Linked DNA regions of Daphnia pulex. The protein of the gene in region 1 purifies or fractionates together with the protein of each later gene. This does not show direct contact. Links are inferred from orthologs where the notes say so. Each region holds a gene or a part of one and is shown on either strand. Other genes may lie near its edges. The genes, in order: uncharacterized protein LOC124196242 and probable protein BRICK1-B.

What was found.
Region 2: the proteins of uncharacterized protein LOC124196242 (region 1) and probable protein BRICK1-B purify together in Drosophila melanogaster (affinity purification with western blotting; 4 studies listed by BioGRID, with this or other methods). This does not show direct contact. The link is inferred for Daphnia pulex from reciprocal best matches to the Drosophila melanogaster genes SCAR and HSPC300.

Annotation. Positions count from the first base shown.
Region 1 is NC_060022.1:717,446-721,943, reverse strand, and holds the start of uncharacterized protein LOC124196242, read left to right. Parts: upstream 1-1,374; 5' UTR 1,375-2,265; coding exon 2,266-2,960; intron 2,961-3,053; coding exon 3,054-3,168; intron 3,169-3,888; coding exon 3,889-4,062; intron 4,063-4,145; coding exon 4,146-4,300; intron 4,301-4,498.
Region 2 is NC_060018.1:1,420,612-1,423,269, reverse strand, and holds probable protein BRICK1-B, read right to left. Parts: upstream 1,173-2,658; 5' UTR 1,151-1,172; coding exon 1,036-1,150; intron 967-1,035; coding exon 884-966; intron 815-883; coding exon 788-814; 3' UTR 686-787; downstream 1-685. Other genes in the region: SLIT-ROBO Rho GTPase-activating protein 1-like, read left to right, coding at 1,866-2,010.

The DNA.
Region 1 (4,498 bases):
AGTGATTATGACAAGTTATCCCAAAGAACTAAACCATCTGTAATCTTTTAGGAAGTGATTTAAAATGCCTCTGCCAAAAAGAGTCATTTCTCCCGTTTATGTGTCAAGGGACACATTGCCTGAACACCTCCAACTTCCAAATGACTTGGAAGGAGTCACCAATGGAACATTGGCCAATATTATCCGACAACTCTCAAGCCTTAGCCATCATGCCGAAGACATGTTTGGTGAGCTTTACAAGGAGACCGAGGCCCTCCATATTCGTTCTTCCAGCTTACAGGCCAGGATAGATAGACTGGCAGTCAAAGTCACTCAACTGGACAGCACCGTGGAGGAAGTCTCACTGCAAGACATCCACCTTCGCAAAGCCTTCAAAAGCAGTGTGGTTTTCGATCAGCAGGTTGTCTCTAAGCTGACTATTCCCACAGCGATGGCAGATACATACCATCACTGTGATAAACCCCCACCTCTGGACAAGCTCAATGTATACCGGTAAGCATAATGACTACTTTGATATTTTTAGCATGTATAGAACCCTAGCCGGGAGCCGAAATCTCAGCAGGGGGTCACGAGGCCTCCGACCATAAAGCAGAACGTGACCAACTTGGCAATGTCATCATTCCAGATAATGAAATCACACGTAATAGCCAATGCTGTTAATACGTTTGTTAAGAATCGTTGGCGCAAATCGTGAGGTATGGCTGCAGGACGCGTACAGGGCATACGCTAGCCGGAAGTTGGTTACGCTTATGCTAGCAAATCGTCCGTGTGAACGAGGCGAGGGATAAAGCGAAAAGATGGGAGTATCGGCGTTGTATTATCTTGTGGGAGATACACCGGCCGGTTGGTGAGATTTCCGAACGGCCGTCGTCAGTCGAGTGGAATCATGTTTTTTCCCCCTGCAGCTTTGCCGTAATCTAAAAGCACTTGCGGCCACCAAGTCTCTCTCTCTCTCCTTGGTGCTATAGAGATGGTGAGAAAGTTCTATATTGAGAGAGAGAGAAAAAAAAAGAAATAATAATAATAAGGGGGGAAGCGAATGGAGGTTGATTCGATTATGACGACTTGTTAGGCGAGCGAGCAGCCAGGGCGCGGTAGCCGGGCCTTGAGCTCTGTGTTTCTATTAACGCCCGACTGGGGAATCTCATATCGACCAGGGCGTATGCCAGTGTGAATGTATAATAGATGCCTCATTGCCGGCGGGATGCGAGTCAGATTGCATTGCCGGCCAACAACTATCCAACCGGGCGTTGGACTCGGGACTCTAGTACGTCGTTGTCCGAGCAACGTGTTATTGTTATTATTACCCTTTTCTTTTTCGTGTGTGTGTGTGTAAAGCAATCGCCTCGTGTAAGGTTCTTGTAAATTGATGGAATGGCTGCCAGATGGGACTGGTTTTGCGTATGACGAGTCCGCGGATACCGGTAGGGAAAACCGTCTCGTCCTCATTCCCAAAACGCAAAATATTATAGGTGTTTCTGCCGCATCCTCCCGTTTGTCGTCCAGACCGGACTGGACTGGGTGGCTATGGCCAAAAAAAAATTTCACGGACCGGTCCAGTGTGCCTGCGGGAGTTACTAGTTGAACCGGAGCAACCTACAAACCTAATACACCACCACCCAATCCGTTCTCCGAGAAGAAATGCGCTGTTACGCGAGTCCAGCTGGCGTGTTATGTTTGGTCTCCTCCCATCTCTAGTTAGTTTGTTTTTTCTTTCTCTCTCTTTCCGTTCTTGTAGTCGTCGATTGGTCGCATTGTTACGGTGCTTCAGTCGATCGTCTTCAGCCGTGCCGAGCGGATTGGTCCCACTCGCAAGTCCTGTGTGACATCTATTATCTACCACTACTAGCAGTGAAGGAAAAGGACAAGCAATCAGTGTCGTGTGTATCTTTGCCCGAAATTGAGAAACCTAAAGCGAAATCGAGCGAAAAGGCATTACGAAACGGATATCGAACAAGAACCCAGCGGGGAGGGATCGCGATTAGCTTTTATGTGGTGGTTGTGTCCTCGGTGCCAGAGACTCGGCGTTTTATGACGCGATTTACTCGTAATTTCTCTTGAGAAAAGGCGTCCGTGAGACCTGGACGCACGCAAGTTCGCCGAGCCACCTGTTGTACACTTTTGTCGGTCAATTGAACTGGACCGACGACGACGAAAGAAGTTGGTGACCCAGATGCGTTTTTGATACCGAGGATGTGCGGAAGCGAAATGAAAGAAATTGAATCACATCTTTAATCTAGTCTGCCTTGAGTGAGTGAATGAGTGATGTCTTGCAGTTTGTGCCCATCGACCCAGATCCATCCGGACGATAATAAGCGAAACGCCGGAAGCTCTAATTGTTGCTGGTTTGGAGAGGAGGGCCTGTACCATTGGCAGGCGATCCAGCCGCAACACCAACAACAAGGCGATTCGTGGGTTTTCGGTCTGGAGGACCAATTCTTTCCGCTCTCTCCGCCGGAAGCAGAGCCGGCGGAAGCAGAGCCACCAAAGGAAACCAGTGCCATCGAAGGGTTGACTGATGAGTTTCTGCAGTTTCTCGAAAAGCGGTTAGCTGAAGTCGATGTGGAAAAGGAAGATGATACAGTTCTCCCAGATTTGCCCGTTATCGAAACCCCTCCGACATCCTCGATCGAAGCCGCAAAGCCCATTCCACCCATCCGCCGGCGTCGTCTCCAGCGATCCGTTTCTCTGCAGGCCGTCAAAGTTACCCCGCCACCGTTAGTCCGCGGCAGGCATGGCGGAGAATTTACCGATGTTCGTCCGGACGTTGGAATTGGTGGACAACAGGAATGTAACAAATCTCGTACGCTTAGCCGGGGTGGCAGCATAGCCAGCGATTTGATTCAACGAGTCAAACGCTGGGCTGCCGTGACGTCGACATTCCGACGTGCCTTTCGCAAAGTTAGCCCACATCGAGCTCCCCTTCAAACGTCCTTTACGACCGCCGTTCCGACAACCTGGTCCATATTATTCCAATGAACTTTTTTTCAGTTTCTCAGCTCAAACTGGTATTTAAAATATTCTGATGATGATATCTCTTTTGCCTTTTTTAGGGACGATGGAAAGGACGGGCTCAAATTCTACACGGACCCGGATTACTTCTTTGACTTGTGGCGACAGGAGATGCTCAAAGACACTGAGCGCATCCTCAACGACAAGGGACGCAAGGTATAGACATTTATTTCGTCTTTCATTTTAAATACAATTGTGACCTAGAGAGAGAAAGCCGGTCTCTTGCCAATTTACATTCACCTGCCACTCAACCTCCACCAACCGGTCGACATGTATCTTGTCGTTGGAATAATGAGGGCCGTATAAACGGTTCATTCTTTGCTTTATTAGAATTTTTTTCTTTTCTTGAGGGGGGAAATGATGAAGAGTCGATAAACGATCTGGGTCGGTGACGTTCGTGAATTCTCAGACCGTTCTCAGCGGAACGCACGTTTAGTAACAGCGGAGGGAGGGCTATATATCTGTAACATATTTTCTGCAATAACGTCCTAAACATAACAGACAGAAAATGTTTTATTTTTCCTGTTATGGAATCATTCAAGCTTAAAATTAGGTTAATGAATAATTCTGTACTTTCCCTCGTTTATTTTTTACGAGCTACAACATCCAAATGTTTGGCCATTAGCATTAGTATCGAATAGAAATCATTGCTGTCTTGTGGTTTCAAAACAACTGTAACACTAAATAAAAAAAACGACAAAAATCATTATTTTGACTTTGAACATGCTTCTCAGTATGCGGATGGCACTCCGTCCGAGGCAAGTTCTCTTTTCAACCCACATCTACCGTCGAATTTCCTTTTTTTCTTTTTCTTTTTTTCTTTTTTGCTTTGAAATGTTGTGCGATCAACAACTGATATTTTGTACCGTTTCACAGCCGCATCGAGGCAGAAATGATGGCGGCGGTGGTGGCGGAGGCGGAAGCAGCGGAGGCGGTCGCCACAAGAAACGGGTCCGGCAACCGCACAACACTCGGGAAAAGCACCGTGAGCTGGCCATTAACAAGGGCGAGTACATTAGCCCACAGAACGCGCTGTATCAGTCGCCTCAGGTAATACTGCCCGTACAAAACAATTGTCAACTATTTTCCTAATGCCTTTTGCCAATGTGGTCTTGCCAAATTAAATTTCACAGGCGTTGTATTTGGAGGATGGAACCATGTTACCGGATCCCAGTTCAACATCACGGCCCCCGCGCCCTAACAGCATTGAAGTGAAACGTAATTACCCTAGCGAAGAGGCCATCTACGCATCCAGGAACTCGCGTAATCCGCAAGACAATGTGTACAGGTCGGTTAAATCACACGTTTTTTTACTTTTGTTGGCTGTCTGTCAAATGAAATTGATGTTGTCAACGTGTGAGAGGGTGTTGGCGTCAATTTTATTTGTTCCCAACAATTGTCATCGGTCTCTTTGCCTCTATCGTGTGCTTGGAATTTCACATTTTAAAAATGTTGTCGCTTCATGGCTTGTCTCCATCTGTCGCTG
Region 2 (2,658 bases), on another chromosome or scaffold:
GTCGGCTGACGGCCAACGCTTTTGTTTCGCTGATTTATACTTTGTTTGGAAGCTTGCGTAATGACGCGACGGGTTTACTTCCCAGGATACCTGTTAAAAAGTACAACTCAATCCATGTTCAGGCGATATTTCGTCGTTCCAACTTTTTGACCACACGGCGTATTCCGCTGCCTTAGATATTCGCCAGTTTTTTGGTCTCCCTCTCCTGACCAAAGTATCGTGTGCTCCATAATAACTATTTGTGGTTGAATGAGTACGTTGGTGGGGCACCGCAGAAAATGACAGGGACCACTTCTGAGGTATAGACGTCATTCATGCGAGACATTTTAAAGGCCAACATCAATTTCGCTTTCGTTATTGAAGTGAGTGAAAAAATTATCTGGGATCTTTGAATCTTGTAGAAAGGGGAACACTTTGTTGACCATGTATGACTAGCATTTTGAGTAGTTCCTAATGATAAGAGGAGTGGAAAATTAAACCAGTTTCTTGGACTTTGAAAAAAAATCTAAACAAGTTGGACTTGTTTTGATTTCACGATAGTAGCACATTTTTGTCATTCCCAGAATCAAGAAGTATTTTGCATTCCACAGTAGTAGTTAACCTAACACTATAATAAGTGCAAAGAAGGAGTGATACAAAGAATCTTTAAAGAGTCTTTTCATTACAGTAATAATGAATCAATTCATCAAGTGATGCACTGTCTATTCAACTAATGCGACCAAATATGTGTAAAAAAAAGGGCTTAGAGTAAAAGGGAAGGCAAATTTGTACTGTGTTTTGGGAAGCTTCATGTCAGGGTGTCGCCTTTCGTTACCTACAATGGACGAATGATGAAAATGGTAAATTAAATAATCATGATCACATTTATATTGAAAAATATTACTCTGGCTTCCAAGTATTCAATTTTTCTTTCTAGTCTGGTGATTTTTTCGTTGAGCACTGCTAGTCGTCCTCGGCAAGACATATCTGTGTGGGCATGTGCAAGGAAACGGGTTTTACGATGAAACTAAAATTTGTCAGTTTGTAGTGTCCTACCAAAAGAATTGAGAAAATCGGTAATCTTTTTAATGCTGCTGGTGATGACTTCAATGTATTCTCTGTTGGCCCAATCTTGCTGGGTTTGTTTTTGAAGGGTTTGTTTCGTCGACATGTTTTCCCAACTTTGTTTGTGTTGTGAACTGTCAAATCAGCTCCATTAGCTACGCTTCACCATCGCAATCGTACGGAAATTGAAAATACGATTAAAACAGATGAAAAATACAATTAATAAATCGAGAATAATTTAAAATTTTCAAAACAAGTATTAAAATCCGGCCAACACCTTTAGATTTTATGAAAACGATTAAAACACAAAGTAATCAGAAGGCATGTTGCTGAGTACAGCCGCTAGGTGACGCGAGCGTAGCCCTGTTATTGAAAATCTCCATTGAGCCCGAACGGCTGCAGCTGGGCAAGGAAGGAGGAGCATTGTGTGTGGAGGTGGGACGACGCGATAGGGGTAAGTCAAAGTGAAATGTGCCTTGCTTGCGTTAGTTTGGATTTTCAACCGTCTCGTTCAACTTGCCGCCTCTTTTCGATCTCTCCGTTTGACGTTATAGTGTTTGACTCGAAAAGCGACGAGGCGTTCTTGGCACGACAGAAAAAAGTAACCGAAAAGTTGGACTCTCTATCAAGATGTCAGGGTGGGGCGTTTGATCTCACTCCCCCACACACAAAAATCAGAGAGGAGAAAAGAATAAAAAGCTTCTGCCAGTGTGTCGTCTGTATGTGCTGCTGTGCCGTGTAAGAAGTTGGCGTCAGAGAGACTTCCCCATCTCTCTCCATCTTTGGCCGTGTGTGCTGCTAGTCTCTTCATTACGTGTGAAATGTCGGCCAACAAAATCGTCCTCAACATTTCGGCGCCGGTCTCATCTGCTGTCCAACAACAAACGGTCGTCCCGCCAGAGAGTGCCAAGAAAATGGCACGCAAAGACAAAGAGTTTCTGTGGGAACTCGACTCACAAGTGAAAGGTACTATCTCACTTTTTTCTGATTATTATTAGATTCTACATCGTGTGTGGTTGATTTGGATTGTATATATTGATATGTTTTCACTCATTGACGTGCATTTATGATCACAAACCGCGAATCCCCTAGAGTGCCGAAATGCAAAGGGCGAATAGCAACAGTCGCTCTCGTACATATTATATAGGAAATGAGTCGAGTCTCTGAGTTGGGAAGAAGTTTAGACGCAATAAGGTAGAAGGGCTTTCTGCGGTCGGAAGCCACCGGAAGCATTCGGTTGCTGTTTTCCTTATCACGGTCTACGAGTCGTGTTCAAGGTGATGCTCGTTATCACACGTTTCGTCGTCGTCAAAAGCAAAATAAAAACAGATTATCCGTTACTTTGTATAAACTACTAGCTAGGAATCATTGGCAACAATACGAATGTTTGGTTCGTGATGATACCCTCACGACTACGCACTCTGGTCAAAACCGGAAAAGGAAATGACAAATTTTTTGGCCTCTGATCAAATTGTTTGATGTTTCTCCTTGGATTTTGACAATCTTTTGTTGTTTTGCCGTTGGTGTTAAATGGCAGCTGCGCAGAAGACCAGATGCCATTTTTCTATGAAAATTGTTGACTGGTCCTCTTTAAAAACTGGGTGGGGGTCATCT